4 linked regions of the Caenorhabditis elegans genome follow. The protein of the gene in region 4 purifies or fractionates together with the protein of the main gene of each other region. This does not show direct contact. Each region holds a gene or a part of one and is shown on either strand. Other genes may lie near its edges. The genes, in order: ZK105.3, clec-59, phy-2 and ZK1053.4.

What was found.
Region 1: the proteins of ZK1053.4 (region 4) and ZK105.3 fractionate together in Caenorhabditis elegans (co-fractionation; one large-scale study listed by BioGRID). This does not show direct contact.
Region 2: the proteins of ZK1053.4 (region 4) and clec-59 fractionate together in Caenorhabditis elegans (co-fractionation; one large-scale study listed by BioGRID). This does not show direct contact.
Region 3: the proteins of ZK1053.4 (region 4) and phy-2 fractionate together in Caenorhabditis elegans (co-fractionation; one large-scale study listed by BioGRID). This does not show direct contact.

Annotation. Positions count from the first base shown.
Region 1 is NC_003283.11:7,694,215-7,702,710, forward strand, and holds ZK105.3 (Glycosyltransferase), read left to right. Parts: upstream 1-2,927; coding exon 2,928-3,119; intron 3,120-3,162; coding exon 3,163-3,277; intron 3,278-3,326; coding exon 3,327-3,448; intron 3,449-3,535; coding exon 3,536-3,621; intron 3,622-3,668; coding exon 3,669-3,747; intron 3,748-3,922; coding exon 3,923-4,029; intron 4,030-4,074; coding exon 4,075-4,239; intron 4,240-4,282; coding exon 4,283-4,603; intron 4,604-4,802; coding exon 4,803-4,944; intron 4,945-5,004; coding exon 5,005-5,080; intron 5,081-5,121; coding exon 5,122-5,204; intron 5,205-5,276; coding exon 5,277-5,649; intron 5,650-5,702; coding exon 5,703-5,874; intron 5,875-6,076; coding exon 6,077-6,196; intron 6,197-6,243; coding exon 6,244-6,375; intron 6,376-6,422; coding exon 6,423-6,546; 3' UTR 6,547-6,600; downstream 6,601-8,496. Other genes in the region: srsx-40 (G_PROTEIN_RECEP_F1_2 domain-containing protein), read right to left, coding at 6,834-7,042, 7,142-7,278, 7,324-7,538.
Region 2 is NC_003280.10:10,475,835-10,482,159, forward strand, and holds clec-59 (VWFA domain-containing protein), read right to left. Parts: upstream 3,615-6,325; coding exon 3,575-3,614; intron 3,528-3,574; coding exon 3,409-3,527; intron 3,361-3,408; coding exon 3,247-3,360; intron 3,202-3,246; coding exon 3,002-3,201; intron 2,955-3,001; coding exon 2,758-2,954; intron 2,709-2,757; coding exon 2,188-2,708; 3' UTR 2,170-2,187; downstream 1-2,169. Other genes in the region: clec-58 (VWFA domain-containing protein), read right to left, coding at 47-186, 266-305; ZK666.4 (Pepsin-I3 domain-containing protein), read left to right, coding at 1,425-1,859; clec-60 (VWFA domain-containing protein), read right to left, coding at 4,318-4,838, 4,886-5,088, 5,136-5,335, 5,497-5,610, 5,657-5,799, 5,944-5,983.
Region 3 is NC_003282.8:12,209,827-12,219,575, reverse strand, and holds phy-2 (Prolyl 4-hydroxylase subunit alpha-2), read left to right. Parts: upstream 1-3,588; 5' UTR 3,589-3,589; coding exon 3,590-3,667; intron 3,668-3,712; coding exon 3,713-3,798; intron 3,799-4,386; coding exon 4,387-4,804; intron 4,805-5,102; coding exon 5,103-5,324; intron 5,325-5,366; coding exon 5,367-5,609; intron 5,610-5,895; exon of another isoform or gene 5,896-5,916; intron 5,917-6,145; coding exon 6,146-6,216; intron 6,217-6,321; coding exon 6,322-6,421; intron 6,422-6,982; coding exon 6,983-7,036; intron 7,037-7,273; coding exon 7,274-7,339; intron 7,340-8,036; coding exon 8,037-8,135; intron 8,136-8,181; coding exon 8,182-8,364; 3' UTR 8,365-8,479; downstream 8,480-9,749. Other genes in the region: F35G2.3 (uncharacterized protein), read right to left, coding at 8,839-8,988, 9,035-9,319. UniProt on the Caenorhabditis elegans protein: Catalyzes the post-translational formation of 4-hydroxyproline in -Xaa-Pro-Gly- sequences in collagens and other proteins.
Region 4 is NC_003279.8:13,239,128-13,246,771, forward strand, and holds ZK1053.4 (SET domain-containing protein), read left to right. Parts: upstream 1-2,527; 5' UTR 2,528-2,541; coding exon 2,542-2,691; intron 2,692-2,740; coding exon 2,741-2,863; intron 2,864-2,911; coding exon 2,912-3,040; intron 3,041-3,086; coding exon 3,087-3,348; intron 3,349-3,983; coding exon 3,984-5,369; intron 5,370-5,424; coding exon 5,425-5,480; 3' UTR 5,481-5,603; downstream 5,604-7,644. Other genes in the region: ZK1053.6 (SLC41A/MgtE integral membrane domain-containing protein), read left to right, coding at 85-550, 606-821, 873-1,300, 1,435-1,599.

The sequences.
Region 1 (8,496 bases), on a different chromosome or scaffold from region 4:
TTTCAAAATTTGATCAGATATTGTAGAAAAGTGCAATTTTTGTCGTTTTTCTAGTTTGGATGTTCTGCACACTATTGCAGACGAAAACCTGAGGTATAGTAGAACCCCTAAGCTCAAAAAAACGCACTCACTTCGGATGCTGATATCTCCGTGGAAAAAAAATTTATGGCAAAGTGATTAACTACAAAGTTGTATATCTTAATCTAAAGTGCAACTTTGTAGTTGATTGTTTTTTCTCAAAAAATTTGTTGGTCGAGATAAAGTTGTGTAAAGTTTGGCACCTTCATGCTTGTATTTTCTTCTTCTTTTTCTGTTCATATCTCATCCAACAAATTTTTTGAGAAAAAACAATCAACTACAAAGTTGCACTTTAGATTAAGATATACAACTTTGTAGTTAATCACTTTGCCATAAATTTTTTTTCCACGGAGATATCAGCATCCGAAGTGAGTGCGTTTTTTTGAGCTTAGGGGTTCTGCTATACCTCAGGTTTTCGTCTGCAATAGTGTGCAGAACATCCAAACTAGAAAAACGACAAAAATTGCACTTTTCTACAATATCTGATCAAATTTTGAACAGTTTTCAAAAAAATAAATTTTGGAAAATTTTATTAGATAGAGGTAGTCAAAGAGCATTTGAAGGTAGTCAATGAGCATTTATACATCAGATCTCATCTCTATTTTTTCCGGAATATCAGGAAATGAGAAAGTGCACGACCTTCTTAGACATCAAAAAGTAACATGTTATTGAAAATTCTGATTTTTCAGCGAAAAAAACTGAAAATTCTGAAAAAATAGATAAAGGTAGTCAATGAGCAACTGAAGGTAGTCAATGATCTAAGGTAGTCAATGAGCAAAAGGTAGTCAAAGAGAAGGTAGTCAATGAGTGTTTGCCGTAAAACTGGCAGACTCCAAAAATGTCGGGACATGTGTGACACCTGCTCTACAACTCACACACATCATTCAGGCATTTTTGATTCCCAAAAATACATGAAAAGTCCACATGATATAAATTTTTAGACCCCCGACAGATAACGGCCAAATTTTACACTTTTGGATCGTTTGTATTCGATTCACACTTTTAAGAATGAAGAACTGCATGTCGCGAATAGCATGGAGCAGGATCTCCATTATTCACGACTTAATAATTATTCTATAATTATTGCATAAGTATTACTGTAATTGAACTCTACTGGCGAAGATCACTACTACGAACAATCCACATCCACATTGCTCTGAGAACTACATCATGCAACCAAGAACAAGGACGTCAATCCATTAAACACGTGAACCACTACCGCATGCACAAAAGGATGACGGACGCGAGCAGCCACGTGGTGACCTTTCCACGTCTACACCGACGACCACAAGACACGTGTACAACACCGCCCAACAGGAGATGCTCATCGAATCAGTCTTAACTTTTTACTCGCTTCATGTTCTTACTTTATGTTCTTGCGTTACTTGTCTATTAGTGTTACTAGTTGTCTATAATAAATCCTTGTAGAGTCACCAAGTGTACTGTTAGTTTAACTTATATAAAATACCACTGAACGCACTGCAAAACACTGCAGGCTTTCTGGAAAATGTTTTACCGCTTTTATACCGCTTGTAAATAACTTTGTTTTAAAAAATGAATATTTCAAAAATTTACTGTTAACCAAATAGTCTTGATTTGCATGATTTGCATGCAAATTTACTGTTAACCAAATAGTCTTGATTTGCATAAACTGATTTTTATCAATGTGGAATCTATAATAATGGTTCATATCTTTTCATTAACATCCTAGATTTACTGAACGATTTTTATAGTTGTGTTTCATTCAACGAGTTAACTAAATAAACATTTATAGTGTCTTGATAACTTTCCTCCAGAAAAGTGATAATGAAATTCTACGGAGAAAGTACACTTTTTGATCGACAACAAATTGCATTCTGAAAAATTATTTCCTACAAAATGTATGTACCACGAATGTTGCAGAAAAATCTTATCCTTTTACTTTAATTAATATTTTAATTGAATTAAACTATTTACTATTAGGGCTTTTGATGCCTGACTCATGACTGTTTTGGCCAATTGTTTGCATTTTGATGTCAACTCTTCTCAGACAAACGCTTAGTCGTCTAATTAGATTTCAACCAAATATAATGGGGACATAATTCATATTTGTTTAGAAATTCATGTTTGATTATATTTGCTCCATATTTTATTATAAAATCCATGTTACATTAGATTTGTTCCATATTAGATTAGAAATCCATATTTGATTAGATTTGTTCCGTATTGGATTAGATTTAAACCAATTTCATTAGATTTGTTTTATATTGGATTGGATTTCAACCATATTTGATTAGAAAATCCATATTGGATTAGAATAGGAAGCCTATTAATTATGTCCCCATTTGGTTGAAATCTAATTTTTGGTTGAAATCTAATTAGAGGACTAAGCGTTTATCTGAGTTGTGTTAAGTGTTTGCACATTGTAAAGGGTTATCTCTTTATTTTTTCTAACTTTGAAAGAAGAAATGGTTGAAATTCACTTCTATGAGACCAATATGACCAAATATCGTAGAAAAACATTTCAACCTTTTTTGAAAACTTATTATTATGGTCTCATTATGTTTTAAATATTAATATTCAAGCACATTAAATTTCTCAGGGAAATTTAATATTAGAATGGTATCCATCATATTGAGTTATAGGGGTCTCAAAGCAGCTGGGTTCAAAAGCAGCTAGCTGGTCATATAAAGAGACCACCACGTTGTAACTTCCATGAACATTTTGTATGTTCTTAAAAACGCCAAGTCGATCGCCGGACATCTGAACTTGTCTATTGTGACAAATGTCTCATCTCACTCTATCTTTTGTTTCTTTTATATAGATTCTAAAACAAGTATCAAGTGTTTATTCCACGAAAGTAATTTCAGATGAATTGGTCGATAAAGGCGTTGCTGTTTATTTCCTGCGCAACGACATTTTGCTATGTTGCACTAATGGGAAAAGCGGATCTATCTGCAAATGTAAAAAGAACAGAACTAATATCACCAGTTGTTGAAATAAAGAATGGAAATAAATGGATTGTTGTCACAAGTGTCAGTGCTCCAACTGAAGATGTTAAAGTAAACCGGTTCAGTGGTTTCAAATAACTGATACCATTTTCAGAGACTATCTTCATTTCCAGACTGGAACTTAGTTGTAGTAGCAGATACTAAAACTCCATTGGATTGGAAATTGGAAAATGTGCATTTCTTATCAGTCGAATATCAGAAGCAGTTGCGTGAGTTAAACATTGAATTCAATTTTTAATGCCAAATTTATATTTACAGCATTCTCCATATCTGCATTGCTCCCCTATAAATCATACACTCGAAAAAATATAGGCTATTTGTATGCAATTTCTCACGGAGCTGAATGGATTTATGACACGGATGATGACAATAAACCATATGTTAAGTTTACATTTTTTCAAGAATTTTTGTCCCATGAAATATCTGCTAATGATGGCATGTAAGATCTATGGGAACATTTGATTTCAGGTCAAGGATTAAAGCAATTCGACTTTGATGACACAATATCGGGAGTTCGGTATCGGCCTCAAATGAGAAGTGAGGAAAGAATATTGTAAGAAATTTCAAATATTGTGATTGCCTTTCATAACAGTTTTCTAGAAAACGACTTTTCAATCCTTACCGATTTTATGGAATGGATCAAATGTGGCCAAGAGGGTTTCCATTGGAACATATTGAGGTGGGAAAAAGTTAAGAGACAAAGGAAGACTTATGTATTCCTGTACGAACCTTCGCATTATTAATTCCACAGCGTGTTTTTTTATTTGTTTTTTAATATTGCAAAAAAACCAAATGACTTGTTTTCTTGAAAGCAATTATTTCCAAAAAAGTGAAAAAATTTCAAAAACGTTTAGAAACACACGAATGGGAACGATTCACAAGTATTGTGTTATCAAATGAAACGAGCAGCTGTGCAACAAGGTTTAGTGCGCCATGATCCGGACGTGGACGCAATTTATAGGTATGGAAAACTTTCAGTTATAAAGAAAATGTATAGAAATTTCAGACTGCTTCACGCTGACACTAAATCTGGTTTAAACTTGAAATTCAATAAGTTTGCTCCTCCCATAACTTTGTCCGTTGGCACATATTCTCCATGGAACTCACAGAATACATTGTTCCACAAATCAGCATTTCATACTTTGTTCCTCCCGACTACGGTGTCATTCAGGTTTACTATAAAATATTTTCATGGTTGACTTTTGATATTCCAGAACCACTGACATTTGGAGATCTTTTGTTTCTCAGAAAATCTTGCATTTATCCGGATTAACAGTGTCATTCGTACCAACAAACGCGGTACAATTCAGGAATGCGCATGACTATTTGAAAGATTTCAAGGACGAGAAACAAGTTTATGAAGATTCTGGAAAAATGATAGAATATCTTCATGACTGGAAATGTGCCCCTGAAAACTCTAGCGATTTGGAGAGATGTGTGAAACAGTTGGCTAATGATCTAGTTGAAGTGAAACTGTGGGGTAAAGAGGATGCTATGTTGACGGAAATGTTTTTGAACGATTTGAAGAGAGTGGGGTGAGTTGAAAAGAAAATGGAAGATTCTAGAAACGTAAAACAAATTTTCAACTAAAAGTTACATATCTGATAGTGAGTTTTATTATAAAAGTGAGTTTTAATATAAGAGGTGATTTGTAAAAGAAAAGAAACAATTATACATTTTTCACAAAAAATGGTAAAAGCGGTATTTTCAAATATACTCTTCTACTATTTATAGATTTGAATTCCCCCGCATACTTGATGGAAATTACGAGGATCCTTATACTCCATCGAAAAACGAAACCTCTAGAGATGTGAATTGCAGGAGAATGCAGCTAGACTTTGAATTAAAAGAAACAAAGAAAACTGACCTAGATGAGGTGGGAAAATTAACTCTCAAAAATGTATGAAACATGTGATATTTTATCTATTCATTCCAGAATGTTCAACGGGCTACTCGGAAAATAAATTATTTCGGAGATATCGTTTACTGGTGTAACGAAACTGATTATTCTAGTAAGTGTTCAATGTATGATTTTCTAATTCAGTATTCTCAGACTTAACGAATCAGTTCCCTTCTCCAGAGCAGCTTTCCAGGAAGCACGAAAACTCGTATGTTCTCAAAAAGAACTTAAACACGGTATGTTTGTCATTGTTAACCCGTTTTAGTTTTAAAAACAAACAACATAAATTTTTTTAACACAATTTTCAGGTCCTAATAGTTGTCAACAATTACCCATGGAAATATGGAATGGGTTTATTTCAAAGACTCTACGAACCATATTTTGCATCGACAATTTTCTGCGGTTCCTGGTATCCGGAAAATTTTACAAACGTTGATAACTTTACATCAACTATTTTTCCAATCAACTACGTTCATGTTAACCCTGCTGAAATCCACAAAGGATATTTTGCATATCATTGTGTCACTTTGGTTAAAGAAATGCGACTTAGCAATGTGGAAGGATATTTCATGATGGCAGACGATGCAATATTCAATATCTGGCAAAGAATTGATTACTCGAGAGTTTTCCATTTGAATGGAATCTACAACATTTCAAACGTTTGGTGGAGCGGAGATTATGGTGATTTGAAAATATTGGAACTTTCTTTTAGGTTTCTCCTTGTATTGTTGCAGGAAAAAAAGCAGCTATCAACATTTTGAAAACTATCAAAATCACTAACAATACAAAATTTCAAGATGCATGGAACAAATTTGACAAAGGATTGCAAAATTACGCTTTCTTCAACTTGACAGATAACGCAGAAACACAAATGCTGAATCCGATTGGAAAAAGTATCTCAGATTTGTGAGTTATGATTGCATCTTACTTTTCGGTAGGGTAAAGTTACACATGATTTTTGTGCACATTAGAAAAAACAAGTGACACATTGTTCACATCAGGGATGTGCGGCAAATCTCAAAATGCCAATTCGGCAAATTCGACAAATTCGGCAAACTTGCCGCACGCCCCTGGTTAACATATATCACAGTAATAATTCAAATTTCAGTTACTATATTCCCACATTACAAAGCGAGTACTATGCCAGTCTTATGCGGTTATTCTATGAAAACCAATTCTTCTTGGAAATCGCAGTGAATAGGTTTTTGCGATCCGTGGATCATTCAACGTAAATCAATTGTAAGCTGATTGTATTTATATGCAATTAAAGTTCAGATCTCTCTATGCTCGAACCAGTTATCTTTGGACAAACCGTGAGAAATGGGATACAGTTTATCACAAGAATATGGTTGCAATGCATCCTGTCAAAATTAGTAAATTCATGAAACCTGGTGCAGCTAGAAAGCGGTGAATTTTTTTTTCAGAATTTAGCAATAAAGTTCGAATTCTTGTAGATATTGCGCTTCAATACTTCAAATTTGGTCGGATATTATTTTCGGTGGATCTCGTAATTACACGGATAAAAGTGACGAAGAAATAGATTATATCAACGGGTTTCCTGTTAGACAGTTATATTAGTTATATTATTAGACAGTTATAGTTTCTTGAATTGAATTATGAATTGATCATTTTTTCTTAAATCGTTTATTGAAAGCATATGCAATTAAAAAAAAAGTGCACGTCAGACTTTTGTCAATTTTAGTTAAACTTTGTTCGCCTGAATAGTTGTCTGCTTATGAAAATGTACTTGTTGCAATTACTGGTCCAACTTGTTGACTTGATGCAAAAAATCTTGAAAACGCTTTTCGAAAGTCTCGTCTGTAGTTTTACAAATTAAAAAATCAACTCCTTGTAATCAAAAAAACTTACACAGTATAGCAAAATAAAGGGAGGGTGAAGCTTTGAGTTGAAAAGCTGATAATTCCAGCTGTTAGCTTTACAATTTGAATGCTTTCCAACGTGCTTTTGAAGTAAATGTTACCCATGAACATCACTGAATACGACAGAAACGCACCAAAGTAGTACATTACAGTGATTTTGATTAATGCTTGCACAATTGAAATGTTTGTGGAATCTTTAAAAAATCACATTACAAGTATTTCTGTTTGCCCGAAGAGTTTTTGCGCATTAAACAGTCCTATACTATTCCTATACTACAATCCTATAAACTCACCGTATTCCATAGCCTTCATCCGATAATTCACGAAATATTGCAGTGGGAATAAGATAATTGCAAATGAGAACGTTGAAACTTTGTACAAGTAGTACGCGTCGCCAAAACAGTTTGAAAGAACACAAATGTTTGAAGAGCTGGAAAACTATTTTTCAGTTTTAAGATTACAGCGCAAGTTCTACTTTTCAGTATCTTGTTGTAGGATAGCAAAGCCAAGAATCCAAAGAGCGTAGATAACTGGAAAGACGAGTAGAAATCCAATATAATACACTTCACAATGTTTCAAATTCTTGTATTGAATAGGTGTACACGTGGCAATTATTCTGTCGATTGTCAAAATAAGCGGCATAATTGTAAATGCGACAGCTCCAAAAGAACGCGGGATAGACAGGTACATGCAAATGTCTGGAAAAAAAATTATTTTGAACTCACAATCAATCTGTCTCAATTTCTAATATGTTTTTTTCTATAATTGCAATAACTTCTCGGTTTTTGAGTACATTTCTAGATTATTTTGAAAATAAACCAACCGCCAAATTTTGGGTACCCGGCCCCGCTTTTGTGTTTGTCTGTACAAAACTTATATGTGTTTCTGGCATGCAGGCAAGTTAAGCGAAATTAGAAAATTTTCACAGACAGATTATTCAAAAGTTCAGGTACCTTGTCGGAAAGGAACAATGATGGAAATTAATATTAGAGGTATTCCAGAAAACTGAAAAAGTTGAAAAACTATGGAAACCAAAATCAGACGATAAAACATGGACTTCAAGTTTTTGTTTTTCAAAATTATAATCAAGAAAATCAAGTTGAAAAAGAATCCGATGATGAATAGGAAACCGTAAATAACAATGATATATGCGAACTTGAAGTTGGTCCAAGTGGTATTGAACATGGTTCGGGGAACAGTTGTATATGAAAATGAAGAATAGAAGAAGAGGTGGGAAGGTGTAATGAAAAACATGAAGGGGCTCCGGAAATTGAAAAATGGTTATGTTGGACATTGAATAATATGTATACAGTTGATGATCAAACGTTGTTTTATGTCTGGCAAAAAGTAATGTGACACACATTAATAATCTGAGTAATCTGAGGGTGTAATAATTCTGTAAAGTTTGAATTCTAAAGTTTGAATTTGAAGGCAGTGCTCGTACGTATTTCGGTTTAGATTGATCTCGCTGTAAAATAGTTGACAAATTCGGAAATTATCATTTAATACTAATGGTAAATAACTCGTTTAAGAAAAAATTTAAAACAAAGAAATTTTCAACATTTACTTTATAATTTTGATTAAGAGAACTTTTTTTGATTTCGAATGCAATTTTGCACTTTCTCGATCGCAAAAGTAAGACTATGGG
Region 2 (6,325 bases), on a different chromosome or scaffold from region 4:
CTGGAATTTTGAATTGAATAGTTTTTCAAATTATCGAATAACAAACCTGCCATAATTGGGCATCTGTCATTTGCATGGATCTATCAACAACTACAACAACATCCAACCATAGGTTTTTGATATTTCCTGGACATGCTGGATCGGTGTAAGCAGCTGCGTTTTGTGGAACTGGAGAGCAGTAGATCCCTTCAAAAAATAATTTATATTTTATCTGATAGGAAATGTTTCATGTGAAAAACCATTGTGAACAAAAAGAGTGACTTACCAAAAACAAAAATAGCCAGGCATGCAAAAACTGTATTCATTTTTTGAGGCTTCAGTTTTTGAATGTCTTTCTTGAATTTTCACTGATCTTTTATACTCATTTGTTTCTTTAATTTTGTCTCTAGATTAATTTTAATGTCATCATACTTCGTGAACTTATCAAAATGCTAAGATGACAGATAAGAGAAATCATCGCATTTTGTAGCTGCAAATTTGTGAAGGTGTGTCTCTGTGCATCATAAATTCTTAAACAGTGTCCTGAACTCCTGAAAAACTTCAACGGTTTTTATAATTTTTGTATTTTCAAATCTTAAAGTTACCAAAATTTGCAGGCAAACTTCATTAGCTTTCTCTTTCAAAAACTTTTCTGTTGTCAAAACAGATAAGAAAGTTGATAAGAATTATCACCAAACTAAGAAGCTCCCATCATTTGTAGTTTCTAAATGTCAAAGGCGTGGTTACGATCGTTTGAACCATTATGTGTATTTTAGTTGGAAAAATGGAGTCTCTTATCAATGACTTTTCAGCCAAAAAAAAAATGTAGTTTTGATTCAATATTATCAAAGAGGGATCAATCATTGAAACATCTTCAAAAAATATAGGATAGCATATTTTGTAAGGGAATGATGAAAAAACCCTTCTTTAAAAAAAAACCAATATAGAAATTATATCAATTATCCCCAAATTTGAAGTAACACTTTATTTTTATGCTATTTAATATTTTCCCCAGATATGCCGGAACAATATTCGCCTCCACAATCTCAATGATTTTGTTGTGAATATAATCGTCACCCCCAACAGGAATAATACCATCGTCCTTGATATTTTCATTTTTTGAACAAAGCTTTTTTTCCAGATCTATAAAGATAACGATCGAACCAGTCTGAACATCCAGCTCCCCACTTACAGCGATCAATAATAGCCACACATCAAAACTATCCCATCGTAAAAGGTGCAAGGTATCCCCCACCTATATCTCCTATTGTCACAGTGGGAAAATGGCCAGACGCTGGTTAATATCCAAAAGGAGCGTGGCACACCGGACCATCTATATAAGGACAACCGGAATGAAAAAGTATCATTCATTCTGGAAATCTTCCAGTTGTTAGCTACCTAGCTCTCATTGCCTTTTGCTCTTAATTCCTATTATTATTGCCAAAATGGAATACACTCAAATTCCTTCCTTTGCTCTCTACAACAATGCTTCCATCTTCCAATTCTTCCCCCGTAATAAGCGTCTCAGTACTCATCAGAAATCTTGCCTTGATGAGCATGCTCGAAAAATGGCTGTTTTCATGATGGAGAGACAAGAAGAGTACCGTTACTACGAGAACTTGGCCAATCAGGAACAATTCTCCGATGATGCCTGCTTCAGTGACACTGGAATGGACTCCGGATTCTGCAGTGGAGACACTTCAACTGGACAATCAGCTTCAACATCTCCTGCTCCAGCCCATCTCATTCCAAACCCATTCTTTGATCCAGAATATGTTGCTTCCAAGACAACTATGAAACTCGTTGCCAATCCATTCTACAACCCAAAGCTCGCCAAGGAAATCAAGAAGAAGTCTACTCATACTTCTAAGTTTCAATAATTTCTCATTAACTCTTACAACTCTCCAAGTGCCAATTTGTTTTCTGTACTTTTCATTTGCCGGTCATTTATTTATTTTTTCTTACCTTTTATCTTGTTCAATATTTTGTAATTTTCCGCTTAAAGCAAAATTTCCCGTGTTTTTTATTGTTGTCCTTTCTAATTCCTAATCAATAAATTAATCAGTATAACTGAAAGATCGTTAAAGTTTGTCTCACAATTTTATTCATTAAATTAAAAGCAATCAAAGAATTGAATTTATTTGTTTGACAACAATTGTACATAGTATGAAGAAAATCAACATTAATAATAATAAATTACATATAAAACTAATGGTTTGAAATGGAATCACCTCCAGAGGAACAGTAGTTATTAGTGTCACAAGCAGCAGTTTCACATACATAGTTGGAGGCAGCTGCGAATTGATGAACGTTTTGCCATCCAATTTCCAAATCAACAGTTGTCTGTCGATTCAAAACAGTTGTCAACGAGGAATCAGATATTGGATATCCTGAATTCCAGATTTCATAGTTCTGAAGTTGTGGTTGTGTCCAATCTTGTGGCTGATCCCACTGCCACATTCCATTGACCTTGTTCAGTCCGATGTGATAGCTTAATGGAAAATGGAAACCAGAGAAGTTTTTGACAGATGATATAACAAAATTGTGTTTCCTGTTGTCATATTCATTGAGAAGATATGAATTTCTCCATCTATTACGGCATGATAATTGAGCAGCACGCCAGACGGCAGTCAATCCAACTGGAAGAATGCAGATTCCGTAACGGTAAGAATCCACGTCATCATGCAAAGCACGGTATTGAATCCAAGAAGTTGGACAGAAGCAATTTGCTGAACAATACGTGTTATTTCTTTATAAAATCAACTCAGTTTGAGATACCTTGAAGTAAAAATCCTTGAATTTCTCCGATAACATTCAAATTTTCATTCGAGAGATTGTGATAAGGAGTTGCAATTTTCTCGAGATCAACAAGAATGTCTCCGTCTTTATTTTGATCATATGCCACGGTGATAATTGTAACTCCAGAGGTTTTCAAGCGTTGAGCAACTGGAACTGGATTCAAGTCTCCACTTCCTCTGAAATTTTTTGGTTTTTAGTTGGGATTCCAAAAAATGCAACTCACTTGTATGTAGATGCATATACAATCACAACCTTCTGATAATGAGCACGGTTAAATCCATGCTTTCCCGCTTGAAAAACCTTCTCGGCTTGTGAAAGCCCTCTGGCAAGATATGATTCTTCAGAAGAGCTTATTGTTGCCAAAGCAGAGTTAATTCCACTATAGATATCATCAATTGATTGGAACTTGTTTAGATCCGCCGCCTGGAACAATACTAATGAGGAACAACAGTTTAGGGAAACGCTTACAGTTGTGGCATCAACATTGTATGTCACTAGTGCTAGTCTTGTAGTCTTTGGACTTGTCGGATTAGTGCCAATCTGTGTATTTTTACTGAATATGGAAGCAATATTTGCAGCGACCTGAAATATGCTCTTTTCAATAGAATAATTTGATTAGAATTACCGTACACTTGTCAATCCTCCCTTGGTCATTCCAGCAGAGTTATCCACAACAGCTACAACATCCAACCATAAATTACTCAAATCTTGTCCACATATGCGATCCGTATAGGACGAAGAAAGGTATGCTAAAAGTTACTAATTTTGGCAGGTAATTGATTGAAATAAGACTTACCATGAAACAAGAAGAAGAGCAAACAAATGTTTTTACTCATTTTTGCAAACAAATGAATGATTATTTTTCTCAATTCATTCTCTCTTTTATACACATGGAAGTTTCATTAAAATGATAATACACAAGATGCAGAGTGTATGTTTGAATTGAAGTATCCCAGACACACCTTATTACTGTCTCTTGTTTTCAAAAAAAACCAACGGATGAAACTTTGTTGTATTGAGGAATTATTTAACTGATAACACCACTGGTAACTTATTTTCGTACTACTATTTTTGAAAAGTAGTTGCAATGTTTTGAAATGCCGTACTAATTGAAAAAGTACGGGAGATTTCATTTGTTGTGAAACAATTGGTTAACGTAATTTTTCCTTCAAAATTATTGGTGAACAGTGTTGCTAAAAATTTTTTAAGTTGTAGCAAACGAAAAGAGAAAAAAGAAAGTTAATTATTTATTGAGAAAAGCCGAATAAATTTATTTCAGTTTTTGCTAGATTGTTAGAAATTTAACTTCACAAACTAAGAGTTGAATTATCAGTATCACAAGACGCAGTCTCACAAACATCTGCATTGAATGGTTTAATATTCTGCCATCCAGTCACCAAAAGTCCGCTTATTCGTTGGTTTGAAACACCTGGATTCCAAATTTTTATTACAAAGAGGGAGAAGCAGTACTAATAAAATAAATACGGTCTGTAGAATCAGAATTTATTATTATACAACAACAAGTATGTATCGTGTATATTAGTGTTTTACGGAAATTTCAGCAAGTCCAGCTTCGGTGCAGTAATTATCAGTATCGCAAGATGCCGTTTCACAAACATAATTGGCTCCAGTCGTCAGTGGCTTGATATTCTGCCATCCAGACTGCAGTTGCACACTTGATTGTTGATTCAGAACTCCTGTGAGAGTAGAGTCCGAAATGGGATATCCTGGATTCCATCCTGCATAACTTTGAAGCTGTGGTTGAGGCATTCCTTGTGGTTGATCCCATACCCAGACACCTTTGACCATACTGAGTCCGTTGTGATAAGTTAGAGGTACACTGAATCCTGTGTAATTGCTCACTGCAGTCAGGACATAATCGTGTTTGTTCGAATCGAATTCAGTGACAAGATATGCATTTCGGTTCATGCATGAAGATTTGGCAGCGCGCCATACCGCATTGAAACCGACTGGAAGAATGCAGACACCGTAGCGGTAGGAGTGAACATCAGTGTAAGATACACGGTATTGAATCCACGAGTTTCGGCAGAAACAGTTCACTGAAAATAGTTTGTATTGCTATATAATATAAGTTCCTTTAACAAACCTTGCAGCAAAGCATCCTGAATCTCTCCAATAACTTGCCCGTTGTCTTCGGTATTCGTGAAGTTGTATGGTGGAGATGCAATCTTTGCCAGATCTGCAAGAAGAGCACCGTCTCCGTCTTGATCATATGCCACAGTAATAACAGTCACTCCAGAAGTTTTCAGTCTTTCAGCAACTGGCACTGGGTCCAAGGCTCCGGATCCCCTAAAGACAAGCAATAAATGGTTGCACAAACTGTCTAAAGAACATACTTGTAAGCTGATGCATAGACAATCACAACTCTCTGATAATGAGTACGGTTGTACCCTTGTTTGCCGGCTTCAAGTACATCTTCTGCTCTTGCAAGCCCATTTGCTAGATATGACTCTTCGGAAGTGCTGACTGACGAAAGAGCACGGAAAACATTATCGTAGACGTCATCGAGTGATTGGTATTGGTTAAGATCGGCTTGCTGTAACATTTTTAATGTCTCGAAGATTTTGATACTGATAACGTGGAGTATGGTTGGTGGAAGTTTGTAAATACATAATAATTCCCAGTTCATGAAAGAAGTTACTGTAGTTTTTCTTGATGCAACAATTGTGACTTAAAACTATTGAATTAAAATCTTACAATCGCCGCAGCTTTGTTGTAGGTTACTAATCCAAGTCTTGTGGTTCTTGGCTCAGAAGGATTTGTTCCAATTCGAGTACCACTACTGACGACTGAAGCAATATTAGCGGCAATCTGGAATTCCTCATAAAATAGTCATTTTTGCAATTAGTTTGCCTACACTTGTCAATCCTCCATTTGTCATTCCAATCGAGTTGTCCACCACAGCTACCACATCCAACCAAAGATTTCCCAAGTCTTCACCGCATCGACGGTCGGTATAGGAAGGAGACGGAGTTGTGGAAGAATCCTGAGCAGAGCACGCTGAAATAACGTAAATCAAGTGGCGGAGCGTAATTTCCAGGAGGGGGACCACTTAGTTAAGGCAATTTTTTTAAGCAGGTATAATTAGATTTCAGATATGTAGCTAAAAAGTTTTATAGTTCTGTGAGGGACTATTTGACCTACCGTACACTCCAATCAAGACAATAAGAAATGTGAGTTTCATTGTGAGAATTGCAATAAAAGTGAAATCCAACTTCTTGCCCAACCTTTACCTGAAACATGATAACATGAACAAACGCAAATCCTGAACAATGTTCTATAGCAGGCAGGCGTGATAGGCGCCTGCCTTATTTTATGAAAATCAAAAAAATAAATGAAAAACAAAGTCGCATTGAGGTCAGGCAGGCAGGCCTTTTGCCGCCAACATGGATTCCCTATCGGCAAAAATTGACGGAATTGGGCAAAGAAACTTCATCAGTAAAGTGGTTGAACACTAGTCAAGGATGCCAAAGAGGGGAAGATGCTCTATCACACTTATCACCACTTCTTTTATATTGTCCATCTT
Region 3 (9,749 bases), on a different chromosome or scaffold from region 4:
GAAGGAGATGTAATCTCAATTTGACACACTAGGGAAGGTACTACGTGGATTTTTGTTTTGTTAATTTTTAATTCTAGGCTTTAAAATTAAGTGAGTTGAAAACTATCTCATTTTCAAATTTCTTATTGAGTTCGAGTCTTTATTTTTTTAAGTTGCGAATAAAAGTTTTCAAAATAAATAAATAATTTTTCGACAGCACTTATTTTCGGGACTGTGAAATCATTTAATTTTTGCTCACAATCAGAGGAAGGCACAAAAATATTAGTTTTTCTCAAGACCTTTGCCTGCCTCGCGCCTACAAGCTTGCCTAAATCTTCTGGCAAGCACAAAGGCGTTACGATGTACCTGAAAACTTCACACTTATTCGGTTGTGCTGCCTTCCTTTTTTATTACTTTCTGTCTATAGTTTTCATCTTTATTTTACCTACATCTACTTCCTCTTGGCACTTCCCTTTTTCTGTCCTCTCCTCAATTTCTCATGTTTCACAACGAAACAAAATTCATTAGATTTGGATGCCTTTCTGCCCATCAAGCGAGAAAGAAAACCTGTTTAGCTGACCAGTTCCGTTTTTTTTAGATTTCTTTTGCCAATTCTATCATATCAATATGCTGATGAAGGAAATTGAAAAAGTAATTCAAATCTCTCCTGTTTTGGAAAATGGTTGGTACTTTAGCTGCCTACCTGAAAGGTTAAGATTGGGCTAGGCGCGTAGGTATAGGCTGCCTCATTGGCAGGCAGTACCAACTACGTAGGTTTGCCTAAGTCTAGATCTAAATCATTTTGAAGACTATTAAATGTTAGACTTCTTCCTATTTATTTTGTTCGCCCTGTTTTCAACGATGGAAAAATGAATTTCCAATATTTTTAATTTCAGAAACCGTATCAGTTGTAAAACAATTAATAGTTTTCTTCCGGTAATACCGGTCTCTGTCTCCTTTTCCAAATATCCTTTCATCCATCACATCCTCAGAAAGTTTTTCAATCCGCTTCTCCTCCTCCCAGTTGCCTAGTGCTTCTGGTCTTTCTCTTTCACCATCTGGCACCCGCTGATCGAGTGGTGGCGTCTCCTCATCCTCTTTCTTATTCACAAACATTACTACCAAACTGCAGCATCACAGTCACGTAGGCATCGGAATATGCACGTCGACTGCGCATCTGACACGTAGAAGTTGGAAATAAAGGAGGAAGAGAGAGACTGTGCGACAGGGTGTAAACCGTCTCGGCTTCTTCTCACGTCTGCGCCCCCATCTTATATAAAGATCTACACACTTCAGCGGCTTCGCGCCTTTTCAGCTTCCGTTTTTGGTTTTTCAGTCCGAAAAGTTGCCTTTTTTTAAGTCAAAAAGTGGCAAATCGCCAGTTATTCCTATATATATTTTCAGAAGATATCCAAAAATGTTTATTCAACAAATTTCTAACTATTCTTACACAGCTTTTATTGCATTCAAATGTCACAGTGATTTGAAAATGCAACATTTCTTCAATATTTCCAAATGTGTCGAAATTTTTATTTTAGAAATTTGGAAGTTTTCAATTGACTCATTTAATATTAGGTTAGGAAGTGTACCAAACCAAAACTTTGACTGAAACCTTTCAAAAATCGTAGAGGTGATTCAGAAAAGTTTTTAATTGTTTTATTGTGATTTTCGGTGATGTTGGACCATTACAAGTAAATTTATGCTTTTGCTAGCACACTGAAATTGTCAGGAAATTTACCGAAATTCATTTAACATTTATTTAATTTTTTCAAGACCTGAATTATCGTTTTGGAAGTGGAGCAACAAACTCCGTCTAAATCAAGATTAACTTTTGTTTTAATCAATTTAATAAATTTAATAAATAGCAAAGATCTATGAAAATATATCAAAGCTTTAGACTATAGTCTATAGCTGAAAACGCTGAAAATCAAGTTTTATCTGATTCTTTTTTTTTTCAAATTCTATGATTATTAAAGAATTTCATCATAATTTTTCTACTTTTAGCTTTTTATCTGACTTTGCAATACATGTATTGGTTAAGAAAACTCAAAACTTTGAATTCCCCCTAATTAATTTAATTAAATTGAAAACTAATTAATACCCAATTTCCTCATCAATCTCCAATTATCCTCACCTTCCCATTTTCATTCTTTTCATTTCCACGTCATCCATAAATCTTGCGCGATTCAACCTAGTTATTGGTATTGTTAATGGAGGTCAATCATCCACTGGATCGAGAAGACACCGTCCGTTCCTACGTGCAAAATCTAATTGAGAGATCGGAAACGCAGGCAATCAGGAAGTTTCTTCTTCTTCGAGAATCGCGCGACGCGGCGAAAAGACTTCCACATCACCTTAGACGGTCTGATTGCTTTTCTCTGTTTTTTTTAGCGAATCCGCTATTAATCTTGACATATATTCCAAAGTTTGAAGGTTTTATATTCTTTAGGAATGTGTACATTCTGTATTTTTAGTTAAAATCAAACTTGAAAATGTAAAAATTAAAAATCGAATGTCAGTGTATCATTTAACTTTTTTAGTCCAGGTTTTGAAATTTATAGTTCTAAAAATTCTAAGAAACCTCATTTTATCTGAAATCATCATGCTGTAAACAAGGGTTATCAATCTGTCTTGCTGTTGAAAATAATATTATTTATTCGCATTTTATCTAGTATATTTTTACCATTTTCTATTCTCTATTAACCATATTTACAGAATTTTAATAAGGCATAACCAAGTGAAATGTTTCCAAAAATCAGATGACCATACAGTTTTGGAACACTATGAACCTAAAAATTGAATAATTTTTTTAAAGTTTTGTATAAAAAGCTTGAAACGCATTTTGAACACATACATTTTCCACAAAAAAATACTGAGTTCATCTATATCTCTGTAGTGGTAATCTATAAAAGATTGAGATCTAAGGTGACCTCAGATATCCTTTTATATTTATTTGGTCTTTGAGGCACTAATCAAAACTGGAAGAGATAGTTTTTTGCGGTTTCATCTAGATTTATTCCTTCATATTTTAGAACTCTTGGAATTAAATTATTCTGAAAAAAAAAACCATTTTTTGAAGCTCCAGAGATAAGGAAAAAAGGATCACACAATAAATCACGTAGGCCTTTATGTAGGTACATACTTGTCTACCTGCCTACAAGGCGACGGACGTGCCTACTGGCAAAATGGGAATGAACTTTTCCCATATAGACAGGCGGTGTCTGGCCTAACTCTATCCTGCCTCCAGACAAGGTTGACAGGTGAATGCTAAACTCTATTATTCTTTGTCTATTCTTCTTTTTCATAAATATATTCATATAAATGTGTCACACAATGCAACTTTTGTTTATAAACTTCAACATCCGTTCCACGTACACCTCCCTCTTCATCATCATCCCCCCTCAAATTGTAAAAATATACAAAAAGTGCTGGTGCAGACGGCTGCTCTCTACACTTCTCATCTGCTGTGTTCATCTTTTTCTCGTAGTCTCTCACTCTCTCGCCACCGATTTTGACCTCGAACATGTCAGTTGTGCACTGATTTTGACCCCCTATTTCTCACGTTCTACAGCTTTTCAAATTTCGGAAACAAATCGATTTGTCTTTCAGAATGAGAGCAGTTTTGCTAGTCTGCCTTTTGGCAGGACTTGCTCATGCAGATTTGTTCACTGCAATTGCTGATTTGCAGGTGAGTAGTTAATCTATGATTATGTAATTAAGTTAGAGATTTCAGCATATGCTGGGAGCAGAGAAGGATGTAACAACAATCATCGACCAATATATCGAAGCAGAGAGAGCCAGGCTGGATGACTTGAGGAGGTGAGTACTGTAGAACTGCAAAATTGAGTAGGTTCCAGGGATAGAATGCCGTTTAGTAACCGAATTGTAGATTATAACAAAATTTCCAATTCTCAGAATCTAGAATTAAAATTTTCTGATTTTCATGTGTTGGGAGAAAATAAAGTTATGTTTCTTCAACAGATGAAAACATTTGCTACAGTAAAAATTAGTTTTTTGCTGATTGTTGAGTTTTTGATTCAAAATTGATTGAACTCCATATTTATCAAATGTCCCCTCTGGTAGGTTCGAAATATAGGTTTTTTTTTAAATTTTTGATAAAAAGTCTTCCACGTGGGCACATCTTACGCCTGTCTATTGCCTACACGATTACCGATTGACAAAGTACACAAAATCTATTGAACTTTTAACAAGTTATTTTTGATTAGACAGTCCGCAAGGGCCACCAAAACGCCACAAAAAATTCTTAAATTTCTAAATTGTACACACACCAAGAATAAAAATGTTCGCCAATACCAAGAAATACGTGATATCATGAAAGTCTCACTTTAACAAAAACTAAACATTTTCGGACATCAAGGTGACTCAAATAAACAAATCATTTTACAGATACGCTCACGAATACGTGCACCGAAACGCTCACGCCGAATCAGTTGGTCCAGAATTTGTGACGAACCCAATCAATGCTTATCTTCTCATCAAAAGATTAACAACCGAATGGAAGAAAGTCGAAAATATAATGTTGAATAACAAAGCTTCAACTTTCCTCAAGAACATCACTGATAACCGAGTTCGTAGTGAGGTCAAATTCCCAGGAGAAGAGGATTTGAGTGGAGCAGCAACTGCTCTTCTGAGACTCCAGGATACTTACAGTCTTGATACTCTTGATTTGTCAAATGGTATTATTGGAGGAGAAAAGGTTTCTAATAAGCTTTCTGGACATGATACTTTTGAAGTTGGAAGATCTGCATATAACCAGAAGGATTATTATCATTGCTTGATGTGGATGCAGGTTGCGTTGGTTAAGGTAAGCCTGGTTTAGAAAATACGGCTTTCAAGCCGAACCTAAAACCAAAAAATATGAGCACTTAAACGCGTAGGCAGGCACGCAGGAAGCGAAAAGCATTTTCAACTCCATTTATTCGTATAAAAAGTAAGTTTTTTGCTGCTTGAGATTTGTAATTATGCACCACTACGAGAACTATCATATTAACGGTGGTTTCTTTGTACTTACTCAATTTTTTGATTGATGATCTATCGTACCTTAAGCTGGACTTTTTCCATAGCAAAATTCCAACAACAAATCCTAATCAAACATTTTCCAGATCGAAAACGAGAACCCACCAACAATTGAGGAATGGGAAATTCTCGAGTATCTTGCATATTCTCTTTACCAACAAGGAAATGTTCGTCGTGCACTTTCTCTCACCAAACGACTCGCAAAAATTGCTCCAAATCACCCGAGAGCCAAAGGAAATGTGAAATGGTATGAGGACATGCTTCAAGGAAAGGATATGGTTGGAGATTTGCCACCAATTGTTAACAAGGTTTTTTGCTTAGTATTTTATAATTTAAATTTTTGTTTGCAGAGAGTTGAGTACGATGGAATTGTTGAGAGAGATGCATATGAAGCTTTGTGTCGGGGAGAGATTCCACCAGTTGAGCCAAAATGGAAGAACAAGCTGAGATGTTATCTGAAGAGAGACAAGCCATTCCTGAAGCTTGCTCCAATCAAGGTCGAGATTCTTAGATTCGATCCATTGGCTGTTCTTTTCAAGAATGTCATTCATGATTCTGAAATCGAGGTTATCAAGGAGTTGGCTTCTCCAAAGGTGCGAAAATTAGATTATTCGATAGTTAAGTTAGAAATAAAGTACGGTGAATGGGGATTTTGTTTTAAAATACAAAAAGAAACTGAAATTCCAAAATACCACCAAAATATGGCAAAAATCGAGAAATTGCTAGATTTCAAATGTGACTAATATTTTCATTCGAATTCCAAACATCATCCAAAATGAGAACCCCCTTGAAAAATAATGTTGTTCAAATATCGATTTTTGTGTGGTATTTCTGAAATTCTGACTATTTTGGGTATTTTAGTACAATCTTCCCACTCACGCAACTATACCTTTCAGTACAATACTGAAACTAGAAATTGTATAATTTTAAGCTAGAACGTGCTACAGTAAAGGATTCTGATGGTAGCCTGGTTACTGTAGACTATCGAATTGCCAAGAGGTGAAAGGTATTAAACGTTTAACTGTACAGTAACATGCTGTGAACTTAGAAAATTAGATATTTGACTTACTGATTTCTTTTTCAACTTCTATTCTTTCTCCTTTGTTGCCTGAAGTGTGTTATTTTTTAGCTGAAGCGAGCAACTGTCCAAAATTCGAAAACTGGCGAGCTGGAACATGCCACGTACCGTATCTCAAAAAGGTTTGTGCTTAAGTTTTTTGGAACGGTTTTGTTTGATTTATTTTGAGTTGAAAGATTAACTAAATCAAGTTGATTATCAAATTTCTTGAATCAAAAATGTTTCAGTGCTTGGTTGAAGGGAGATTTGGATCCAGTTATTGATAGAGTCAACAGAAGAATTGAAGATTTCACCAATTTGAACCAGGCTACTTCAGAGGAGCTTCAGGTAAGCAAGAGCCCTGCAACATGGCTAAGGCCTTTAAGAAGGCACATAAATGCCTGCGTACCTGCCTCATGCCTTTATGATAGGCGTTAGATAGGCAGGCAGGCAGGTACGTGCTTGCCGACTTTGTGTTGAAACGGAAATGCGCACTATAGTTATATATTTTCCTTGTGAAATCCTCTCGGGCAATGAATTTACATTATTTTTTCGAAAGTTGCCAGTTTCTCGTAATTTTGAGAAAATGTAAAATGGGGATTAAATTATTTCATAGACTTTCTTGATAAACTTTTAATTTTCAAAGACAAAACTCGAAGAATTCTTGAAATTCTAAAAATCGAAAAATCGTTTAAAATTTCCATTTTTAGATATTTTCGTTTTTTTACAAAAAATTGAAAATTCCTTGTGTCCATTTTTGAGTTTTCTAGGCTAGTCACATCAGCAAAAAGGTCTAAAATGCCTTCAATGCCTACAGCCTAGAATATAGGCATTAGAGGATTCCCCAAGTTTTACTAAAAATATTAATTAAAGTTTATAATATTTTCAACAAAATTGTTGCTGTTTCAGGTAGCTAACTACGGTCTTGGAGGTCACTACGACCCACATTTCGACTTTGCCCGGGTAATAACAATTTTCAATTCTTTTTTATAATTTCAGATTGCAAATTACGGTCTCGGTGGTCACTATGAACCACATTACGACATGTCACTGGTTGGTTTACTGCCTTCCTGCTGACTTGTCTTGCTGCTAATTTTCAGAGAAAAACTGCCGAATCGTACGGTGGAAATGGTAATCGTATTGCCACTGTGTTATTCTATGTGAGTTTTCGATTCAATTTTAATTTTCCGTATTTTATAGAAAGAAGAGAAGAATGCATTCAAGACGCTCAATACTGGAAACCGAATTGCGACTGTTTTATTCTATGTGAGACATGTTTCATTTATAATTAATGGTTAATAAGATTCCATCACGAACTTTTTATTTGCATGAAAATTCTTTAGCTGTTATTGCATGAGGTGTGCTAATCCAAAAGTATGTGATGGAATCTTAACGTTTGAACTTTTAAATTTGTGATTTTAGCGCGTGGGAGCTGTGAGAAAACGGAAAATTTTTAAGGGGTCTTAAAATTTTACTGTTGATATTTAAAAATGAGGTTTTATAGTTTTTTGGCTCTATCGAACAATTTTTATTATTTAATCTAATAATTATCTTCTTTTTATGATTGTTTAGCTGAAACTGATGTATTTTCTAATGCCTACTTCTGGAAATTCGATAAATTCGAAACTGAAAATAACAATATCAAAATTTACTTTAAACTCAAAGAGCAAAAATCGTTCAAAATATAGTCAAACATTCACTCTCAAGATTTTGATTTTTTTGAAATTTTCAAACTTATTGGGTTCATAATTTTTACAAATAAATAGATGAAAAAATAGTAATATTTGAAAAGTTTACAAACTGATGTTTATATCCTTTTGGTACTGACCTAAATTACGAGAAAAGTGTGTGTGACGTCACATTTTACAGACGCGAAAACCCGACAGTTACTGTAGATCAAACACATTGTCAGATAACTAGAACGAACCCTCTGTTTCTCCTTGAACCAAACAATTTTTTTCAGATGAGTCAACCAGAACGCGGAGGAGCAACCGTCTTCAATCATCTTGGAACTGCTGTATTCCCATCGAAAAATGATGCTCTCTTCTGGTATAATCTTAGAGTAAGTGTTCATTTCTATTTTTCCTCGCAATTTGGAAATATTTCAGAGAGATGGAGAAGGAGATCTTCGTACCCGTCATGCTGCTTGTCCAGTTCTTCTAGGAGTTAAATGGGTCTCAAATAAATGGATTCACGAGAAAGGACAAGAATTCACAAGACCATGTGGATTGGAGGAGGAAGTTCAGGAGAACTTTATTGGAGATTTGTCCCCATATGCCAATGATCCATAGATTTGATTTTTTACTCTCTTTTTTGTTTTTTTTTTTAATTTCATTGTTGCTTACTGGTGTTTCACGGTTCCAATATTTTATTTGATCGCCAAAAAATGAAAGTGTTCTGGTTTTAAAGAATGAGTTTTTGATATTCTGAAATCTAAATTCAAAGCTGTTTATGCCTGCTTCATGCCTGCCTACATCAAACCTACATCAAACCAAGATTATAGTCATGTCTACTTCATGACTATAATCTTGCCTATCTATGTTCCTACCTATTCAAAATATAGTCCAACATTTAAAAATCCTGTGAAAAAATCACGGTTGTGGCTTGGATTAAAAATGATTCGATTCAAATCAGCATAAATATCTCCCTACGTGCCTGCCTGCCAACAACTCTAACAAACATGTAATTGTACCTGATACATACAGTTTTTCCTTGCCATACTTTATTAAGTTAATCAAAAATTATTTCAAAATTATATGGACAAATTAAATATTATTAACTTTAAAAAGACTTTTAATTTTATTATTTTCCTTATTTTCTTCTTCACTTCCTTGCAACGCACTCTTTAAGTCATTCTGGAAATTTGTTTTGTTGAACTCGATCTCGAATTTAAGCAGTTCAATCATTTCGTTTTTCTGAAATTATAGTTTTAAAATTTAATTCCATGTAAGAAATCCGAACCTCTTTAATAATCTTTCTGGCTTGTACCAAATCATCAACCAACTCATTTGCATCTTCCTCCGCAAATTCCAATGATTCCAGTTTTTGGCTCAATTCCTTTATCACCTCGTTTCGCTCTTTCAGTTTTCTCTGAAGTCCACCAATTTTTGCCACAAAATCTCTTTGATGCATTCGAATTTTGATTAAATGATTGCTGATTTTACTTCTCTCTATTTTCATCTCCTTCTGGTGCTCTTTAATCATTTCCTCACTAGACTCGCACATTAATTTTAGTTGGTAATGAGCCTGCAAACGTTGTATATAAAAAAGAATGTCAAGATGCCTGCCTACATGCCTGCCTACCACCTAGCTCTATACATTTTGGCATGCATTCAGGAATTTAGTGAACCTCTAGAAAGTAAAACTGGGAAAATTTCCAAAGAAAATTTAGTTAATTTTCACCAAATTTTCGAAAGTTTTTTTTTTTAAAGTCAAACATTTTCCAATAAAATATTTCGCATTTTTTTCAAAAAAAACACATTTTCCCAAAAAAAATTCGATCCGTTCTACTGTCTATTTTAAAATTTAATAAATCTTCTCAGCTTTAAACACCTCTTAATTTTTTATGAGGGGCTCCAATAAATAGCTTGAGGGGAACACGATTATTGGAATTTACTTTTGAAATTGAGAAATTTTCAGACTCTCGAGAATTTCATTGATAATGCTAATAAAATAT
Region 4 (7,644 bases):
TATGTACTATCGTAGCTAACATTCTAAGTTAGTGCCGTAGACAATGACTATTTGAAAAATAGTTGTATCATTATATTTTCCCAGAGTCTCGTCCCATTCTTCCTCGGTGGCTGTGGATCTATCTCGGCTGGCCTCTTGCTCACCTACGCCAACAAAACCATGACACTAGTGAAGGAAGTTCCCGAGTTCCTCGTCCTAATGCCACCACTTCAAGGTCTACGTGGTAACCTGGATATGACTTTCTCTTCAAGAATGTCAACACTAGCTCATAAAGGAGAATTCAACGAGCCAGATATTTATTTGAGAGTCAGAAAGAATGCTGCAGTGGCGCAGGCTTTATCAATTCTCATCTGCATCCTGACCAACTTGATTTCCTACTGCATCGTGCAAATCACACCGTCTTTGGACAACCCGACACTTGCCAACTCGACAAGCTTACAATCAATCCACAATGACACCTACCACTACCTAGACAACAAGGAAACTGCACTGTTCCTGACGGGATCATCAATTCTCTCGGTTGCACTGAACTGCGCGATCTGTACAACATGTAAGTCTCAATGTCTTAACTTTGAAAATTTTTTATAATATAAAAATTGTTTCAGTCCTCTTCACAATAGTCTACTGTGCTTGGAAGAATGATTACAATCCTGACAACATTGTAGCTCCACTGGGCGCTAGTATCAGTGACATGCTCACAATCGGCTCGATGCTCTTTTTCTGCTATCTTCTTCGTCCATATTCGGGGTTTTCAAGTTCGGTGCCGGTGGTGATTGTTGTGGTGGCAGCGTGTAGCATACCTCTATGGATTATGATAGCATGTAAGTCTCTTTGTCAACTTTTTTGATTTTCGAAAATCTTAAATTTTCCAGGGAACGACGAAGATGCTCTGCGCATTGCCAAGCAACAGTGCTTCACTCTGGCGTTTGCAGCGATGGTCAGCTGTGGTGCGGGTCTACTTCAAAGTAAAGGTGCGATGACCTACCCAAACTACCCAGCATATCAAACACTCATCTCTGGACTCGCTGGAAATCGAGGAGCCGTCCTTGCATCAAGGATATCATCACATCTAGAAGTACACAAGACATCAGACCTGGGATGGAGGCAACGTGCATCGCCAATTAGTTACTACAGATCTGCGAGCTCAGAGTCTAGAACTGCGAGGCTTCTGTTGTTCACGGCGTTACCGTTTCAAATGTTCTTTGTCGGGCTCTCGACTGCAATGTCATTTGTGATTGATGAGCCGGTGGAGACGGATTTCCGGTTTTTCATTGCATATGCACTAGTAGTTTTGATTCAAGTAAGTTGATCGTACTGATGTTACCCCCTGTGTAGGGTTCCTGCATGGTCATAAGCGTAATGTTGGGTTACTGTAGATCAAGATTTGTAGATCTGTGATCAAGACTTTCCACACAGAACCTCCACTTTTTCCAGCAATCCACAATTCTCTACCTGGCCCAGCTGATAGTCTTCGCCTTCTGGTCATTCGGTATTGATCCGGACAATCATGCAATTCCACTTCTGACCTCTGCTGCAGACGTCTGCGGATGCGGATTACTGTACCTCTTGTTCTTATCGTTGGATAAAGGATTTCGGTAGGGATATCACTTTAATCTCAATTTCATGATCAAACAATCTCAAAAACACTAATTTTCAGATGCGTCAAAGTGGAAAGTTTTTGAGTTCGACCACATATGCCAATTTTTCAATAAATATACAAATAGTAAAGTCGAAGATACAATGTGATTGCTTTTTCCTCATTTAAAAAAATTAGCTATGAATAAATTTGTCTCTAAGGCAATTTTTTTTCTCAATTTTTTAGGAATTTACTTATTGTTCATGGGGGCTCAATTCTGACCACAATTATCAACTCAGATTCTTTTCTCTAAAATTCAAATTTGATGAGAATATTGCATTTTCCCATTCTTTCACTGTACTCTTTAAGTGATACCCCCTAATGTTTTGTCTCCCGGGGAGAATAGGTCATTTATTCATACACAGTAGTGTGCCCAAAAAGACGCAGTGACCTGGCCCCTTGCACATTCTGTACATACAACCTTAATAGATACACTAAGAAAGTACTCTCCTCTGGTGGGGACAGTCACATTTTACTGGTCTGCTCTTTTTTGGTATCAGCATGGAAAAACCCCTGTGTTATCAATTATTTTAGATTTGCCAAAAGTTTTCATTTCAGGCAATGTGCCGATTTGCCGGAAATTTTTATTTTGGGCATATTTCCGATTTGCCGGAAAACCCTTTTGCCGCCCACCCTACTACAAAAAATGTATCTAATAATTTTTAATAATACATTCTCCAACAAGACACATCTTTTGTCTCTCTCGGTCAACATTTAAGATCGATATCTTGGGTTGGCAAAAGTGTAGCGTACACAGAGGACCATTGCGTATTGAACGCGTCCTGACCTCCCAAACAGTCGTTACGTCATCGCACTGTTGCCCTCTCTGTCCACTTTTTAACACGTACTGCAATCTCCTTTGTTTTTAAAATATTCTGTTACAAGTTTTTATTTCAGGTCTTGTAATGCAACCATCTACCGTTCCAACGGAAACTTTGCAAAGTCGCATGTCGGGATTCAATGAAAGACTCAAAAAAGCGACGAATGTAACGGAGCAGGTAGCAGTTATGGAGGATATGAAAAAGGATTCAGAAGTGTACGATTCTTGGTCTAAGGTGAGATTGGAATTTAATTTTTATCACGTTTTTATCTCATTTTTTCCAGCATCGACAAGCTCAGCTGAAATACGCTTACACAAGTTTTCCCACAAAGTTTAGAGAAATGATGGGAGGGTCGAGTATTCGTGAAGAAGAAACAGAGGAAATCGATACACAGAATTCTAGCGAGGTAGGCATACAATAAACTATTCAGTAATGCGAATATTCATATTTTCAGACCGAAGAGCCGTCCATCGCCGATGCTATAGCTAGTCGTCAAGAATTTTTGAACAAACTGGTCGAAACCACGGATCAGTTGATAGATATTACTGTAGACAAATTCATTTCTCAGCTGAAAAATTGTCATGTTCGTTTATTAGACTGTCTAATGCTAACTGAAAAAAAAATTTCAGATTAGAAAGCCCGAAACCCCATCAGAACCAAGCCGCGAGGCTTCTCCCGCTCCAAGACTTTCAAGCCCATTTGAAAGAATTATAGACGAGACTACGGAACTTCTAGCAAAATGTGCATCTTCCGGGCCCCCTGATCATTCACTACGGTCATCAATTCTAGAAACTTTATTCAGCGAAATTAAAGGAAAGTCTTCTGATGTTTCGTTAGTAACAATTTCTGAAGAATCAGAAAAATCAGAAGAATCAGAAGAATCAAAAGAAGGTAATTCAGAATTTTTTGTACAAGCAATTTAAAATGTATAAAACATGTTTGGCTAACTATGGGCAGTGTAAGAAAAAGAATTTCAAAGCCATCAAAAAAAAATTTACGCGGAAATTCAAATTTCAATTTTAGCTCACTTTTTTCTTAGCCCACAAGATTTTTCCAATTCTGGCAAATTGACGTTTGCCGGATATCAGATTTGCCGGAAGTGTTCAGAAGGATTTTTTTATAAGACGGAAACACATCAACCAGTGCCATTTTGAAATTTTTTTCCCGGTTTTCTTTAGATATTTTCCCAAAATTTTTTTACTTTTCAATATAGATGTAGGAACATTTATAGGATGCGTACAATTTTACCGATTGAAATTAAAATTCTGAAATTTCCAAAAAAAACTGTGCAAAACCACAATTCGCCGAAAACAGGCAAATTCAGAAAATCGACAAATTGCCGGTTTACCGATTTGCCGGAAAAAAATCGTTTGCTACCCATCCCTGCTGTGAGTTCAAAACGCGCGGCTAGAGACCATTTTGTATAATTGTGCCTCCCTTCAAAATCGTAGAGGAAGAACATGCATAGTACTACGTATAGTATGTTTCAACAGCTGCATTAATTGACTTCAATAGGTAATTTTCAGATAAAGGCTCTCAATCTCTCAACACATCATCGATCTCAACAGAACCTAGTCCCGTGCAAACATCAATTTTGAAACCTCCTCCAATGTATCCTGAGACTGCAAGTTTCCCTCATCGTAAGATACGATCAGGTGCATACTCACTGTATCCACCTCCACAGCCGAGCCAGCAATTCGTTCATTCTCACAATTTTCACCAACCAAAATTTGATGCATCTTCAATGTTATCTACTGGATATTGCCCTTCACGGAATGTTGCCACTTTTAAAGTGGACAAACCTTACGGTACCGTATTCACTTATGATCATCAGAATCGAAAGTTCCAAGAGCACTGTTGTGTCGAGTGTCGGGAACAGATTGAAGAAAACGATTTATACCCACTTTATGCAGTTTGGTGTGAGAAAATCTCGAATCATGTGATTTTTATGGAAATTGGATTCACCGAGGAAATTGGACAATTCGTCTTCTCCTTCAAAACTGGAGGATTCGAGCAGGTTGATTTTCCGGAACTGGTTTTCTCTGAGCACGTGGAGTACAATGGAAGCTTTGTCGCGATGATTGCAGGAGAAGGAGAAGACAAGGTGATCATTGAAAGGGACGAATCGGGAGAAAAAGTTAGAAAACTTCTTCATAAGTTCGGGCACTCGGTTCAAATCCCGTATGCTCCTGTCAGACCATTATGGATGCAAAAAGCTGAAGAACCCGTGGAAGAAGACGTTGAACCGGAATCTGACGCTGAACCTGAGGAGACATTGGATGCTGAGCACGTATCCTACATAACCTCACTTCCCACCTATAAAAAAGAATACTGTCAAACCTATGAGATGGATGTCCTTTACATGCTTCAACCCAACGGCCAGTACCTTAAATATTCGTTGAACGACGATGAAAACGAGCTGAACTTGCATGTATGTGATTGTTGCAAGACTGGAACCACTGAAAATGATCTGATCCCAAAGTACTCCGAATATTGTGCTAAAACTTGCAAATACATCATCCACGTCCAGAACCAATTCACAGAGAAAATGGAGACATATGCATATGATTGTGAGAAGAAGCGATTCCATCAAGTCACTTGTCCAGGATTAGTATACGATTCGGAAAAAGTACAGGAGGGAAATATTTTCTTTATACTAGAGCAAAATTCCATGCAGGGAGTCGAAGTAATTATGAGAGATGATGATGGACAGCTGAGAAAAGAGCAGTTTTGTATGGTGAAGAAGCAATTCGTGAAGCTTCCGAAAACTACCGTCGCAACGTTTGCCGTGCAGATTGCTGAGAAGAAAATGAAGAATCTGCTGCCGAATGTTGAGATTTTTCTTCCTTGGCCACAAAGATTTACTCCAAGTTTGTCACAATGTTCTTCTGTTCAAGCAATGGTTATTCCAGGTTTGTGATTGTTACTATACATCATTTTTAGAAATATTACAAGACCAATTTTCAGAAACAAATCACCAATTGATTTCATCGCCACAACCGACACCATCTGAAATTGATTGAAAATCTTCTATTTTTTCGTAATTTGTAAAAAAAAATTTGTAAATTCGAACATTCTCTGTCTTTTAATATCTGAAATTTTCTTTGTAACGTTGCTTTTTTACAATAAAATACCTTCAGTCGATTTGTACTAAAACAACGTTTTTATGCCAGAATTTTTGCGCAACAATTTTGTTCAAGAGAACAACAAAAAATCAGCAATTCTATGTTTTTGAAAGAGGACAAAATGTACTCGGCGTTTGCCGCCAGCTTCCTACCCAAGGCTTCGCAACTTCTTACCCAAGCCTTGCCCAAAAAATAAAAACATTTATAAGGAGTTGCCAAGACTTGGGTAAACCTTGGGCAAGAGTTGGGCGCCGCCACAAAAATGAAAAAAGTCGTGGTCTGCCTCGTCGTTTGGAGGCGTCGCCCAAGTCTTACCCAAGTCTTACCCAAGTTTTGCCTATTTCTTACCCAATTTATACCTGTGTGTTGAACTTTGATCGCATTTCCTGTTGTTCCGAAGAATTACCTGCTGAGCCATGATGGTCGCGCGAAAAGATGCACACTAGTAATAATATATCGTACTCATATTCTGATAGATATTTTTGAGGAAGTATCAGACATATCTGATTGATACGGTATTCTCACATACCTTATTTCATATGTTTTCAAGTGTGCTCCCTAATGATTCTAAGTTCAGAATTTACAGAATTACTGTAATTCATGTTTGTTTCATGTCTTTCAATTTTATAAAAGTTTACATTTCAAAGGAACAGTTCAGTCTTAGAAAAATTCAAAATTTGATGCATAGGATTGACTGACTATTATTTGACTATTGGACTGACTAGGAGAAGAATCATCCTGAAGATAACTTTTCTTTTTATTTTTAGATGAATTAAATGGTTTATTAGACAAAATGGCAATAAAAATCAAACTTTGATCGTACATTTTTTTAAACAATGTTAGCCATCAGAGAAAAATATTTAGAATTTGCCTTTGAAGGGACAAGTTTTCCTGTGAATTCTTTCAATTACATTGAAATTCCTCTATTTTAAATACAAATTAATCAAAAGACAAAGTGTCGATTTACGCTAAACATTGCGCATGCGGGATTTCGGAATCTTGTTCGTTCTTTACATCTGCAAACTTGGGTAAGAAGTTGGCAAGACTTGGCTAAGACTTGGGCAAGACTCGGGCGAGGGAGTTTACACTAGAATTGTTGAAGTTGGGTAAGACTTGGGCATACGCTGGGTTAGAAGTTGGCAAGAGTTTGGTAAGAAGCTGAAAAGGCCCAAACTTGGGAAAGAAGCTGCCGGGAATTGCCGAGTACATATGCGTTTTTAGTTTTTGTAGGTATAAACATTTGAAATTAATTTTTTACCTCTTTTTGAAATTTTGAAAAATTGATAAAGTCCCGACGGTCTCCTTTAACTTAAAAAAAACAAAATTTAGGCCTTTCTAGATTTAAAAATTCAATTTATCTCTCTTTTATTATATTAGTAATCTCTTACGGCTCACGTTAAGCGATGTGCTCCGAAAGCAGCTACTGGAAAGCCGCACATGGCTGATTGGCAAACAAAAAGCGGCTGAACAACCGTAGACGACCGACTCAACGGCCAAACAGCAGATGGAAATTCACTTTATTCGAGACTTTCTATGGCTTATTTTATTGTTTTCCAAGTATTCTGAGCCAAATGAATGAAAATACGTAGAATTTTGCAAGTAGGAAAAACGTTTACAGTCGGCCAAAATTTTGTTATTTTCGACTAAAATAATTTGAACCGCTTTTGTTATTTCTGCTTTATCTCTAAATCGAACCAAAGGGAAGATTTTGTGTTTTTTGCGGTGTCTTGCGGGGACACATAATATTTCCTTCAGAGTCAGTCTTTCCTTTAATCTTTTCTCAGCTCTTTTCGTTCCCCAGCTTCTCTTATATTATGTAGAATTTATTTTCAGACAACTATGCCGGACCTCCCAAACCTTAGACGTTCTGACCGTAAACGCAGGCTTGTTGAGATACTAGACAGATACTTTCTCAACACTCCAGCTAGAAATGAAAATGTCGAAGTTCCTGCTCTCACAATTCAAACCAACGAGTCGGATCCACTTCCAAGTCTTGCTCCAATTCTCATGACGTCATATTTAAGACATACCATATTATAGCTCGAGGGCCCTCAGAAAATTA